2 linked regions of the Chlamydomonas reinhardtii genome follow. The main gene of each other region encodes a partner of the protein of the gene in region 2 in a complex. Links are inferred from orthologs where the notes say so. Each region holds a gene or a part of one and is shown on either strand. Other genes may lie near its edges.

The links.
Region 1: CHLRE_16g671100v5 (region 2) and CHLRE_16g651500v5 share a complex: the UniProt entries of both Arabidopsis thaliana proteins name them as parts of the CSN complex. The link is inferred for Chlamydomonas reinhardtii from reciprocal best matches to the Arabidopsis thaliana genes COP13 and FUS5.

The regions. Positions count from the first base shown.
Region 1 is NC_057019.1:1,300,210-1,307,218, reverse strand, and holds CHLRE_16g651500v5 (uncharacterized protein), read left to right. Parts: upstream 1-2,711; 5' UTR 2,712-2,961; coding exon 2,962-3,108; intron 3,109-3,303; coding exon 3,304-3,379; intron 3,380-3,672; coding exon 3,673-3,761; intron 3,762-4,021; coding exon 4,022-4,159; intron 4,160-4,599; coding exon 4,600-4,670; intron 4,671-4,985; coding exon 4,986-5,118; intron 5,119-5,389; coding exon 5,390-5,574; intron 5,575-5,888; coding exon 5,889-5,901; 3' UTR 5,902-6,468; downstream 6,469-7,009. Other genes in the region: CHLRE_16g651550v5 (uncharacterized protein), read right to left, coding at 626-745, 1,130-1,230, 1,718-1,856, 1,942-2,027, 2,092-2,249, 2,383-2,483. UniProt on the Arabidopsis thaliana protein: Component of the COP9 signalosome complex (CSN), a complex involved in various cellular and developmental processes such as photomorphogenesis and auxin and jasmonate responses.
Region 2 is NC_057019.1:4,417,202-4,424,166, reverse strand, and holds the start of CHLRE_16g671100v5 (uncharacterized protein), read right to left. Parts: upstream 4,289-6,965; 5' UTR 4,185-4,288; coding exon 4,012-4,184; intron 3,911-4,011; coding exon 3,798-3,910; intron 3,539-3,797; coding exon 3,394-3,538; intron 2,572-3,393; coding exon 2,435-2,571; intron 2,183-2,434; coding exon 2,057-2,182; intron 1,715-2,056; coding exon 1,557-1,714; intron 1,242-1,556; coding exon 1,087-1,241; intron 691-1,086; coding exon 639-690; intron 386-638; coding exon 266-385; intron 1-265. Other genes in the region: CHLRE_16g671150v5 (uncharacterized protein), read left to right, coding at 4,585-4,915, 5,582-5,679, 6,101-6,187, 6,424-6,487, 6,894-6,965. UniProt on the Arabidopsis thaliana protein: Component of the COP9 signalosome complex (CSN), a complex involved in various cellular and developmental processes such as photomorphogenesis and auxin and jasmonate responses.

The DNA.
Region 1 (7,009 bases), about 3.1 Mb from region 2:
CGTGTCCGCCCAAAACGCTCCTCGTCCACTACCTTGGTCCTTGCGCGGCAGTTCCACACCGCCTTGTGACATCCGCCTAGAACTGCAACCTGAATAGCTTTCCCATTTGAAAGCACGGATTAACCCGTACACACGCCATAGGTGACACGGCACGCCACACAAACGCGTTCGAAATCCGCTTGAAACCGTTAGCAGCCTGACTTGAGACCCAATCGCACTGTCCGCGTCTCCGCATCCCCAGCCTTGAGACGCACGGCGTGGCCCCGCCAACAGCTCGTTGCACGCAACCATAGTTTTACGAAACAGGACAGCGACAACGGCTGCTCCGCGCCGGGGACCGCCCTGACGCGCATCCCCACCGGGCGCAGCCATACATTACGGTCAGCCCGCTGCCGTGGCAGGCCTAGGCCAAGGGCGCACCGCTGCAGCTTCTGCGTAGTCCCAAACTCAGCCGCTCGCCCACCAGCGCTGTGCCCGCTTCGCCGCTAGCTCGCCAGCCGCTCCGCCTCTCAAACACCACCTGCCGCCGCACCAAAGCTCCTCCACCACAGCCACCGCACCCGCCACACCGACTGCCGCTGCTGCCGCTGCTGCTGTTGCTGACATCGCCGCCGCCGCCAGCCGCTTAGGGCGCGCGCACAGGGCCCACGGGCGACACGGGCGCCTCCATGAAGGACGCGCCCTCGCGGAAGTAGTTGACGGCGCACGCCTGCTCGCCGTTGGCGCCCACGGGCACCACGTCCACCTGTTTGTGCGTGCACGTGCGCGCGGGCAGGCGGGCGGGCAAGGTTGCGGTTAAAATTGCGCGGCCCATCTGGCATATGGTAATACGGCTATGCGTGTGCGTCTGTATCTGTTTGCTGTTATGGCACCGGCTCGGCGCATGGTTTGAAGCTTTTGCTGCCTTCAAGTCCCTGTCGTGCGAAGGCCCTGTCCACGTCATCACCACCTCATGTGGCTCCCACGCAACCCGGCGGCCGCGGCCCTGCTTGTGGCCCGAACCCCAACCCCAATGGCCACGGCCATGCAGCCCCACTGTTCATCCAGCTCTCGTGCCTCGACCTGCACATCCCTCCCCCTGAATCCCCAGGGCCGCCGCGCCGCCTGCTCCCCCGCCGCGCGCGCTGACCTGGATGCGGGCGCGGCCCTTCACCAGCTCCGAGCCGTCCGCGGACAGCTTGTACTCGAAGATGCGCGGGTGCTTGAGCACCAGGTCGGGAATGCCCGAGTCTGCAGGAGCACAGCAAAGGACAGGCAGCAAACCCGGGCTTGGTTGGTGCCGGGTGGGAGTGCGTACAGCTGTTCTGAGTGGCAAGCCGCATGGCTCCGTGACGGCCAGGCCACCCCCGGGCGGACGTGCAGGATGCTGCTGAGGCAGCATCGGGCTACGTTGGTGTAAAGCTGTGGTGTGCTCGCCACTGATGCCGCCGTGAACACGGGCGCCTGCCCTGCCGGTTCGGTCGCCTGGTCGCCCTGTTCGGTCGCCTAGTCATTCCCACCCACGCCCGTCGGTGGTGAGCTGTCTGCTGCGCAACCCTGGGCTCCTGCAGCCCCAGCTTGGGGCGTGTGCCCTGGCCAGGACCGCTGCATTGCCCGCCGCACTGGCGCTGGCCCGTCCGCGGCCGTGTGCCGTGCACGTGCAACCTCCAAAACCCTAACCCCGTTCGGCCGAGCGCCCGACCCCAGCTGCACACCCCAGCCCCCTGGCTGGCCTCACCCGGCACGCCTCTCCGCTTCAGGTAGTCCACCACCGACTTCAGGCGGGTCTCCGGGTTCAGGCCCAGCAGCACAACGCTGATGGACGCCATGTTGCAAATCTCATCCTGCTTCAGGCCCACACTGGTCAGGTAGTCAACCTGCGTACCCCGACCAAGACGCGTTAGCAACACTTCTTCCAGCGAGACGCGTCCATAGCGTCGCGAGGGGTCAACATTCACTCACCACGCCCTTGGCGCGCTCCTCGGTGGTGCGCAGCATCCCCTTCATAGTGCGGTCCACAATCTGCTCAATCCAAGGCTTCTCCCAGCCTGCATGCAGATGGATGTTAGCACGTCGCGCTATTACGCTAAAACAGAAGCGCGAAAAACCTACCGAGCGCAAAGAGCATCCGCTGCACCTTCTCGATAGAGGAGGGCAGCTTGTAGGGATCCTTCTCAGACCATGGCAGCGGCAGCTCGCCAGGGGTAGTCTTGGTGATCACGGTCTTAGTGTCGGGGCTTTGCTGGGTCACCCGCACAACGATGCTCGCCCTGCGCCGCACGAGCGATGGCCACGTCAATACCGCCAGCAATGCAATAAATCGGCTGAAACTTAAGCTGATGCAGTGACGTGGCCGCGGTGATCAGGGCGGGGCTGCGACAACGCCTGGTTTGCCCGCCGCACCTCTGCGACTGCACCGGCTGGGGCTTCGCAAATAGCTTCGACTGCGTGCGGGAAGAGCACGCCACACCTAGGCCTTGCCGGCCAACCAGCATAGCGGACATACTTGCGTTCTGGCCCTAGGTAACTCCGCTTGAGGCTTAAGATGTCGCGTGGTACGTTTCCCTCAGATCTATGAATTGTGCCGTGTGCCAAGTACGCCTAATTAAACATAAATGCGTGCGTCACAGTCAAGCACGGTCGGGAGAGCGCTCGTAGAGCGAGGGGGGCCTGCACTCATCATGCGGTCGGCACGCGAGGACCCTACGCCATTCCGCGTGCACAGCTTCATACTGAAGAGTTTGACTTTAACATAAACATTTATGCCCGCGCCAATAGAATTGCCCATAAGCTTGAACCGAGGGTTCTGAAGTTCAGCCAGCATTTCTCCTTTAACTACTGCAAGACTTTCATCGGATAGGTCCTCGTCCATGCTGCAGTGATAGGCAGGGGAGAGCTCCTTGGTCTCCGGAACTAGCGGGCAGATCCCGCTCCTACGTCTTTAGCTGCGCATTTTGGAGGCACTAGGCGAGGTCTGTTATCATGGACCAGGATGCTAAGATTCAGCAATATGTGCTGCTGGCGAAGGGCCTCCGCGGGCGAGGCCTGACGGACCTCATCGCTAAGGCAACCGGGGACCCCGCTGTGTTTGGCTTCGGCGAGCTGTTGGATGTGCAAAGCGTAAAGGAGGTGAGTTTCGCTGGCGATTTGCCATGGAGGGGGCATGGGCCCGCACACAAGGGCCATGGAGGGAAGGAGTGGGTGCACGGGTGGTGCCGGGTGTGGGTTTCGTGCGGCGTGTCAGGCGGGGCGAAGCTTTGTTGGACGCCGTCCCCTTCCTCAGCTGAGTCTCACAGTCGTGCGCCGCGCACATATACTGCGCAGCTGCAAGGAACCGACCTGGCGTCCCACAATGCGCTCCTACAACTCTTCGCATACGGCACGTGGTCCGACTACCAGGGTGAGACGCACGCGGGTGTGGATGGGGACTGGTGGTGCCTGCCACGGAATGGAACGGTTGCTCCGACCACCACATGTGCATGCGCTTGGCGCGTGCCAAGGCATCCGTGCGGTTGTCCATGCCCGTCTAGGCCGAAGAGGTATTATCGAGGGGTTTGAAGTGGAGCCGTGTGTCAAGCGTGCTGCGGTCAGCCGCCGTTCTGTGATGTGTACGTGCACGTCTCGCATTGTTACGCACGCGTGTCGATATCGCCTATAATGCCTCTCACACCTCCCACACCTCATAACCCACAGCCAACGCGTCCAGCCTGCCGCCGCTGAGCGAGGCGCAGGCGCTCAAGCTCAAGCAGCTGACGGTGGCGTCCCTGGCCGCGTCGGAGAAGGTGGGTGGGTGTGCGGGCAGAACTTTTCAAGGCTTGACGCATCCAGAGTACAGAGTAGGCAGCTGCTGGTCCTGTGCCTCCCCAGTCACCATCATGACTCCCGCATCTATGCCTGCCCCTGGTCGCGGGAGGGCCCACTTCCCCCTCCCTCCCCTCCTGCCGCGCCGCCCCCCCCCGCGTCTGCTATAATACTGAATTACTCTTTCTGGCTACGCCTTCACATCTTATATAGTCATGAATGTAACCCCCCCCCCGTGCAGGTGCTGCCATACAGCCAGTTGCAGTCCGCGGTGTCCATCAGCGGTGTGCGCGAGCTGGAGGACTTCCTCATCAACCACTGCTTCTACGCCGGAGTCATCACGGCCGGCAAGCTGGACCAGAAGCAGGCCTGCCTGCAGGTGGGCGCGTTGGGGCGGGGCGGTTCGGGAGCGCGGGGGAGGGGACGTTTGGGGTTTGGTGGCAGAGGCGGGCGGGCGGGCGGGCTGCGGGCGACGGAAAGCGAAGCAGCGAGTCATGCAGGGCGGGGGTTAAGAGGGGCGTGGTGGCAGGGGCGGAATGACGCTTGAGTGAGGGTGGGTATGGGGAAGATGCAGCAGGGTTGGGGCGACGGGCTGGGGCGTTGGGTTGGGGCCACGGGCTGGGGCGTTGGGCGCTGAGGTGTCTGTCCTCCAGGCGGGCGGGAGGTGATAATTTGTGCGGGGCACGTGACGGCACGGCCGTGCATGCTTGGCCTGCCCGGGACCCCAGCGGACCCCTGTCCGACGTGGCCCGGGGCCGTTCGGATGCAACACCTGCTCCTGCCGTCTGACGGCCACTGCCTGCCTGCCGCCGGCCTCAGGTGCACGACGTGATCGGTCGGGACGTGCGGCGTGAGGACCTGCCGCAGATCACACAGCGCATGGCGTGCTGGTGAGTGCGTGCCACCTGGGGGGGAGGAAGGGCCACCTGGGGGGAGAATGGGGCTACGGCATTCATGGATGCGGCTGCTAGCTCTCAAGTTGGCGGGTGGGCCAGGTACAGGTGCCCGCTCATGGTATATTCCGTATCGGATATCGCTGGGGGGGAGACGAGCGGAGCAGGAGCCGTGCAGTGCACTGGGGTTCGCCGCCCAAAGCAAGTCCAGCGCGACGAAACCTGCGGCCGCTTCTGACGACAACGCTACTCGACACACTACAACACAAACCAGGACGAAACCATGTGACGTTCCTTAACGAAACATTACAGGATCGCGGCGGGTGATGAGCTGCTCCGCGCCATCGAGGCGCGGGTCAACTACGCGACCGCCACAGCCGACGCGGCGCGGCAACACCGGGAGGAGCTGGACGCGCGCATTGAGGAGGCCAAGCGCAACATCAAGGTGCGGCAGGGATGTGTGAATCTCTGCTCAAAATTCCATCGTGGCCGCTGCGTACCCAGACTTACCCAGACTGGGCTTCTGGCTTTGGAACCGACTCCCCCGCGACCGCCACTACCTGGTAGTCCTGCCTGGAACCCTCATCCCCCACCCGCCCACCCCACACCCCACCACCACCCCCCACACACAAACACACACCCCACATCCCACACCCCACCACTCACCGACACACCACAACCCCCCCACACCGCCATCCCACATTCCAACGCCTCAGGCCGAGGCGCGCGCCAACGACGCGCTGATGGACGAGGGGCTCATGATGGGCGGCTTGGACATGATGGACGAGGACCGCGTGGGCACAGCCGGACTGGGGCTGGGGCCGGGCGAGCGCGAGGAGCGCATGATGATCATGGGGCCGGGCGGCGCGCGCGGAGAGCGGGCGCCGGGGCGGCCCAAGAGGTGAGCGAGAGCGCAGCAGGGGATGTGTGTGTGTGTGGGGGGGGGCAGCAGCGCAGCAGGGAGCGCAGCAGAGGGCGCAGCAGAGAGTGCAGCAGAGAGTGCAGCAGGGGCTGGAGGCAGTGGGGCGATGGGGTGGTGGGGCGGAGTGTGACGTGGGGTCGGGGTGTTGGGGGTGCGTGGAGGCGCGAGTTCTTGTTGCCGTGAATGCTGTGGCGGCGTAAGATGCGCTTCGGGGGCTGCTGGTGTCGCTGTGCCCACAGACGGTGTTTGCCACAGACCGTACTGACCCTCGGGTTGTGTGTCCCTTCCCACAGCAGGCGGAGGTAACTGGGCAGCAGTGCTGAGGAGGCACGCAGACTCGCGAGAAGGAAGGTTGTGGGCGGCGCAGAGCGCTGCGTTGCACCCGCGCATGTGGGCGTGGGAGCTGCTGGGTGCGGCGCCTAGGCATCTGGGATGGACGGGTAGGCGCTTGCTTGGATTTGTGAGCGCCGGGGTGGCTGGTTTTGTTTATGGCTGGCCGGCTGGTTGGAACCCGGAAAGGCAGGTTGAGAGTGGCAAGCTGTTGCTGCGAGCGAGGGGGAGCGCGCAGTCACCGGTAGTGCGCAGCCTGCGGCAGTTGTTGAGTAGGCGAAGCAGGCTGAATACGCAGGAGTGAGGCAGGGGCCACAGGAGTGCAGCTTGAGACAAGGGGCTAAAGGACTGCAGGGCTGGAATGCCCCCACTACACACGTTCACGATTCTGCTCCTGAACCTGCTGGGTGTGTGCGTACCGTGGCGATTGTGTTTATTGGCACGTGTGGGTCAGGGCACACATCGCACGGTACTGGTGCCGCCATGACGGTCGCCGCACGACAGCTGCTTTAATTCCATGAATGTACGCAAACCTGGGACTAACATTTGAGCGAGCCACCTCGGCGCGTCCTGGGCGGTGGAGGGGGGGGGGCAATCCTGTCAATTGACTCAGTACCCGATCAGCCGATCTCAGTAAATCGACGCTCGGGAATCAGTCGGGATGTACCCGAGTCTGCAGCACCTCCTTGAATACCGTACATCTTCCTCTGTTCCTCAAACACGGCACGGCACGCACCCGCTTGCTATGTGTCGTCAGCTCTTTCGGCGTGTCCCGGCCCACACAGGGCAGCAATGCAAACGCCAACACACAGAAAGACGCTGATGCCATTCGACTTTCCTTATGTTCACCCTTCGGCAGCAACCGCACAGCAATACCTTGACAACCACATGCCATTATGACGGTTGCCTATATATCAACTGGCACGGCCTTCGCAGCTATTTCTGTCAGCTATTTTTGTGCCTACGCAACCCCTCTTTCACAGCTGCAGCTCCAGCGACACGGTATATGCGCCGTAGAAGACGGGTGTGGTCACTAGCGCCTGGTGGTGGGAGATAGCTGTAAGCTTTCCTTTTTGTGTCAAGG
Region 2 (6,965 bases):
TCACACCGTCACACCTGCACACCGTCACACCTGCGGCCCGACCACTGCGGCCCGGCCGCGCCACCCTCGCACCAACATACTTCCGGTGATGCCCCGGCACCCACGGCGATCCCTGCCACTTCCTACCTCCCAACACGCACTCAGCACACATACTCGTAACTCCGGCGCCGTCTGGGTGGGCTTGGTTTTGTCTCTTGTGGTAAATATCTCACACGCGCACACCCACGCGCACACGCACACACCACACAGGTGGCCTCCCGCGCACCTGGCGCAGCCTCTCGTCCAGCGCCGCCACGCCCGCCACGTTGTCCCACGACCCGCCCGCCGCCGCCGCCGAGCTGCTGCCCGCTTGCCCGGAGGAGCGCGTCTCGTCCGCGAACCGCACCTGCACGCACACGCGGCAGACGCGCAGCACACAAAGCATGATGCCGCAACCAGCTCATGTGCCACGTCACGCAAAGCATGCGCCGCACACACCACGTCACGTGCAGGTGCCGCGCCAGTGGCCGGCTACAGGTTCCACAGGTGGGCGCATCAAACAGCACCCCGGCTTTGCTTGCCCCGCGGCCCCCGCAGCACCACCACCAGCAGCAATACACTACGATGCCAGCAGCGGCCCTCCCATGCAGCCCCCTCACCATGCCGGTGCGGCCGTCGATCTTGGCGTGGATCTGACCCGCCGCCACCATCCTGCGACACGCCACGTCATGACACACCGATGGACGTCAGGAAGTGAGGAGCGGAGCAGTGGCGGACAGGCGCGCAAGGATGAGCGGGCAAAGCTGCGGCTGTTGCTGCTGCTGCTGCGGCAGCGGTGAGGACTGAGGACTGAGGAGGAGGTGGTGGTGGTGGTGGTGGTGGTGGTGGTGGTGGTGCCGCGGAACCTCCCGCCGGCACCGCACGACACCGGGCGGGTGCACGGACTCCACTATCTGCTATTCCCCCGCGCTACCTCATGCACGCCCCACCCTCCCCGCAGATCCCACCCCACGCATAAACCCCTCCGCCCTCCATCCACCCACCCACGCGAAACCCACCACCCTGCACAGCGCCCGCCCACGCCTCCGCCGCCGCCCCGCAACCCACCGCAGTATGTGCTCCTCCGCCTCCGCTGCGCCCGCCAGTCCGGCGCTGGCGGCGATGTCGGCCAGCGGCAGCGTGAGGAAGGTCTGCGTGAGGCGCTGCACGGAGCGCACCGTCAGGCTGGCCACCACCTGCTTCACCAGTCCCAGGTTGCCGTCCTGAGGGGGGGGGTTACATTCATGATTAGTTAAGGAAGTGGTAGGGGGGCGGGTGGGGAGGAAGGAGTGTGGTGTGTGTTTGTGGAGCGTGTGGGCGTGTCTGTGTGGGTGTGCCTGTCCCACCCTCCTCCATCCTCCTCCGCCTCCTCTGCCTCTTCCTCTCCCTCCTCCTCGCCTGCAGCCCTCCTCCGGCCCCCCAGCCCCCCCCCCGCCCCCCCGTCGGTAACGATGACTACTGTGTACCTTTGTACCTGGCTACGAGTTCACTGCGTAACCTTTATGCGTGTAACCCCCCCTCCCCAGCGCCGCACCCACCGCCGCGAACACCGCCGCGTGCTGGTCCGCTACGCGCCTGAGCCGCTCCGGCTGTCGGGCGGCGGCGGCGGCGGCGAGGTCGGCGTAGGGCCGCGCCTCGGCCTCCACCATGTGCCGAACACAGCTGGACGTGAACTTGGGCAGCGGCAGCAGCTGGCCTGTGTGTGTGTGTGTGTGTGTGTGTGTGTGTGTGTGTGTGTGTGTGTGTGTGTGTGTGTGTGTGTGTGTGTGTGTGAGTGAGAGTGAGGCGCGGGCAACTGAGTGGAATGCATGCGTGGGCATGTGGAGTGAGGCTGGGCGGCTTGTGCGCATGGCAGGCCTGCGGCAGTGTGTCCATACATACACTTACTGGCGCACGTGTGCCCTACAGCGTGCCCTGCCTACCCTTTCTTGTCCGTCTGTGTCCAGCAAACCCTCCTCCCCTCCACCGCTCCCCACTCCCCGCTCTCCTCATTCAACCGCCTCCAATCCCCTCCTTTCCTCTCCTCATCTGCCCTCACCTGCGTGTATGAGGCACACGCACACGTACTTCTTGTAGGCCGCCGCCACGATGGCATTGCCCACCACCGCCGGGGCCGTCAGCGCCTGCAGCAGCAGCTCCAGGGCGCGAGCGTGCTGCTTGCGGCCTGTGGTGGCGCGGGCAGCAGGGGAGTGTTGCGCGGTGGGCAGCAGCAATAGTAGCAGCGGCTGCACTTGCAGTTGCAGCAGTGGGTTGTGGTGGTGCTGCTGCTCGTCTGCCGGGCTCCTCCTCTTCCTCCTCCTCCTCCTCCTCCTCCTCCTCCTCCTCCTCGTCGTCGTCGTGCCTCCCCCTCCCCCCCTGGATTCTCCTCCTCCTCCCCTCCTCCTCCCCTCCCCTCCCGGGGCTGCCCTGCCCTCACCAATGGCCAGCATGCCGCCGTAGTAGCAGTACAGGAACAGGTCGGTGGGGGTGCAGGTGGTGGCGGCGGGCGACACGTCGTAGATGTCCTGGCCCAGCACCTCCGCCGCCGCGTTGTAGCAGCGCGACAACAGGCAGCTGCGCAGAGGGGGAGGGGAAGGGTTACATGCATTTAGTTTACGGAGTGAAGTTGTAGCCAGGTACAAAGGTACACGTAGTCGTTGTTACCGATGGGGAGGGGAGGTTACATTCATAAGCGTTTTAGAAGTGAAGGCGTAGCCAGGAACAGCAGCATAGCAGACGCGTTGTTACCGATGTCCGCGGGAGGGTGGGGAGAAACATGAGGGCACCGGGGGAAGGGTGGCAGTTACCAACCCAAACTAAGACTACTGACGCGCCGTGGGTCGTGCTTTCCCGCTCCAAACTGCCCCCTCCTCCTGCTCCTCCGTTCTGGCTTGGTGGGAGTGGTGGAGAACCCCACCCCTTCAGACTACGTGCTCCCAGACCGTCCCCGAAGACCACCCGCAACAGCACCGGCACCCGCACCTTCACCCCTCCCCTCCTCGTCCTCCACCACCTCCTCCTGCTCCTCCTGCCGTAGCCCCCCCTCCTCCTCCTGCTCCTCCTCTTCTTCCTCCTCCTGCTCCTCTTCCTCCTCCTCCTTCTTCCCCCATCCTCCTGCCTCCGCCCCCCCTCCTCCCCCCCCCCGCTCCCCCTCCTCCGCTCCCCCTCCTCCGCCTCCCCCTCCTCCGCCTCCCCCTCTCCGCTCCCCCTCCTCCTCCTCCCCCTCCTCCTCCTCCCCCTCCTCCTCCCCCTCCTCCTCCTCCCCCTCCTCCGCCTCCCCTCCTCCTCCTCCCCCTCCTCCTCCTCCCCCTCCTCCGCCTCCCCCTCCTCCGCTCCCCCTCCTCCGCCTCCCCCTCTCCTCCTCCCTCTCCTCACCCCCCCACCGCCGCCACTCACAGCTGGAAGAAGTCGGCGTGAAGCGGCGTGAGCACCTCGGGCGCCGGCTGCAGCGCGCGCAGACCGCAACGCAGCGGCAGAATGCCCCGCCGCGGCGATCCCGCAGCCAGCACATGCTCCTTCAGCTTCTTGGCAACCGCGCAGACTGCGGACCCGGGTGGCAGCAGCAGCAGCGGTAGTGTGAGCGGCAGTAGCAGGTGCGGTAGTAGCAGGTGCAGGTGCAGGAGCAGTGGCATTGTAAGCAGTGCCGTGGGAGCGACAGGAGTAGCTGGTTCCGGTGCCTGCCTGCGTGCCACGAAACCCTAGGCTGCGGGGCGTGCCTTATCGACCGCCTCCCCGCGCCGGTCCCGCCCTGCCCCCTGCCCGCTGCCGCGCTCCCCTCTGCCCCGGCGCTGTCCACTCACAGACGTCTGGCGCCGCCTGAATCTGAGCCGGGTCACAAAGGGTGAAGAAGCGAGCCGCGTTGTCGATGAAGGCAACATCGGGGGCCTGCAAGTTGCCTTTCCCCAGGTAGTACCTGCGAGCCAGATATGACAGTCAGCATTTTGCCGCTTGCCACGATAACGCAGGGGCCCCAAGGCACGCCATGCGCTGAAGATCTGCGCGCGCGACACTCACAGGAAATACCCAAAGCCCAGGGAATGCTGCACGGGGTCCAGAGTTTGAAGGGCAGCCGCAATGTGCTGGTAGTTCTGGGTAAACACCGCCTCGGAAGACTTCAGCGTGGTGAGTAGCTGGTTGATGTCATTGGGGTTCGAAAGCGCCACTACCTGAGCCACCAGGCCCTCCATCTTTATGGCTTAGCTACGCCAGCCCAGGCCCGCCAAAAAGAAAGGTCCGGTTCTCACAACTCGTCGTGTTTGGCTAGTCCTGTTGATGCTTACAAATGTGCAATAGTATTGTTATCATAAGGAACTGCGAAATGCAACGTGCAAGGCACAGGACTTGCATGCACGTCTGGTTTTCCATGTTGCAGCTGACCCTCGCCGGCAAATCAATCGCCGATATGGCAATTGCCCATCATAAAAGACCTCACAACATTCGAATCAAACATATGTCCTGACGAATAAGCTCCAGAAAGGCGAGTGCACGACGGGGCATGTCGCGCCAAACCCGGGCCGGGCCATAATATCGCCGCGGTGGCCTCATACACCAGCAGCATAGTAACTGCAGCTTAGCGCCGCAGCCGACATGGCGCCGAGGCAAGCTGCTGAAGCGGGCAGTGCCCTTCCCGCAGCACGCACTGCTGCCGCTGCTGCCTCAACCACCCACGCAGCCGATTCGGAGCCGTCCCGCATCGAGCTGCTAGAGTATCATCGCGGCCACGTCGCCGGAAGCGTGGTGCTGCTCGGCGACGGCGACAGCCCGACCGGAGCACGGCAGGAGCGCAGCGGCGCGGGCGCCGGCGCCAGTGCGGCGGCCGGGGCGCGAGGCGCTCAACGGGGCTGGGGGGTGCTGTCGGTGTTGCGGGCCGCGTTCCTGCCGGAGGGATTCCCCGAGTCCGTGTCACCCGACTACCTGAGTGAGTGACGGGGATGGGGTGGCGGGGGAGCGGGCGAGGGTGGGGACTAGGAGGGAGCGGGTTGGGAGCCTGCAACACACCCGTTCTCGCACGGCGGCGGCACGCCGCGGCGCGTGTTCCGTTCATGCGCCAGGAGTGCAGTCGTCAGGCAGGGCGGTGCAGCACACGCACCTGCAGGCATGTGACGTGCTGCCCACTGCCGTACTCCCACACACGTGTCCCCACATGTCCCCCACGCGCTCCTCGCTCTTGTGCAATGGGTTTGACTTAATTTTGAGGCTGGTTGTGGACGGAACACAGAAGTTCTACGTCACAAAAGTATATAACCCGGACGCGGACGGCGCCCTGGGGCATCTAGATATGTCTTTTGCCGACTATCCTGCTACACTGGTACATCCACCCCCCGCTACACGTGCCCTCACGCACCGCTCCCAGGCACCCATGTGAGGTGCCTCAGCCGCCACGACACGACACGCCACTACACCACCCGCGCCAGCCGCCTGCACCCTCCCCCTGCTCTCTCATTGCCCCCCACTGCTCTCCCATTGCCCCCCACTGCTCTCCCCTCCCTCCCACTGCTCTCCCTCCCACCCCACCGCTCTCCCCTCCCTCCCACTGCTGTCCCCTCCCACCCCACCGCCCTCCCCTCCCCATGCGGCCCCCCAGGCTTCCAGGCCTGGGACACGGCGCAAGCCCTCAGCTCGTACGTGCGCGGCATGCTGACCAGCGCCGCCATACTGCGGGGCGTGGGCGTGGGGCAGCAGGTGCGAGGCAGGGCCGGAGGTGGTGTGTGGTGTGGTGTGTGGTGTGGTGGGGCGGAGGCGCTAGGCAGTGCGGTGGGGCTGGGTGGGGCTACGGCGGTGGCAAGGGCTGTGCGTGCTGCGTTTAGGACTAGCGCAGCAAGGGGGCCGGGCTATGGCTGCAATTGGGCAGGCGGCGCGGCAAGGGGGGGGGTCAGGCAGCAGGGCAGCAATGCTCCGTGTGCCCTTCCGCCCCCGCCTGCACCCCTGCCTGCACTGCCGCCTCCACCCGCCCTGTACGCCTCAGCTCCACCGACTCCCACACTACATCCACCTCTCATATCCCCCCGCACAAGTACCTTGACGCCCCCTCTCATTTCCCTCAACCCCTGCCCAACCCCTCCTCCCCCCCCTCCTCCCCCCCCACACACAACCATCTGCACAGGCCTCCAGTCCGCTGGCCGCCGTGTTCACGTTCTTTTTGCGCGACATGGCCGGCATGGCGGGGGGCATCCTGTTCGCATACGCCGAGGTGCGAGCCTGCTAGGAAAGGAACAGGGGAAAGGGCTGGCATACTGCAAGTGTATGCGTGGCTTAGAGGGCAGAAGGACGAAGGACGGATTTATGAACTGCTTGTACTTTTCTGTCCTAAGCGGGGGGTTCTACGGCCACGCCCCCCGGCCGCTTCCCCCACTCCCTGCCCCCGCATCATCATAAAGTTGACCCCCGTTCCCCTGCCCCTGCCGCTCCCCTGCCGCTGCCGCCCAGGGCTCCAGCTTTGACGCGTGCGCCAAGCAGTGGCGGCTGTTCGCCGACATCGCCAACGACCTTGGTGAGGGGGCAGTGGGAGCAGCGGGGGCAGTGGGAGAGGTGGGAGCACGCACAGGCACATGCAGACCGACTCGTTGCTGGTCGCGTTGCTGGGTGGCGCGCACATTTCATGTGCCACCGCAGTGAAACGCGCACATACACACACAAATACGGGCTTCGGCACACCAATACACATCAGTCAGACCTGCTGCCTCCTTGTGCTCCTCCAACACCACACACCGCCACACCGCACCACGATATACCACACGGCAGTTCTACACCACACGGCATCACACCATATCACGCTCCTACACCACACCACACGACATCGCAACTATAACACAGTCCTGCACCACACCGCAACGCAGCACCCTACACACAACACCACCACGACCCTCCACGCGCACCCCCGCCCCACACACACGCAGGCATGACAGTGGAGCTGGCCTCGCCGCTGCTGCCCCGCGCCCTGTTCCTGCCCTGCGCCTGCTTCGGCAGCA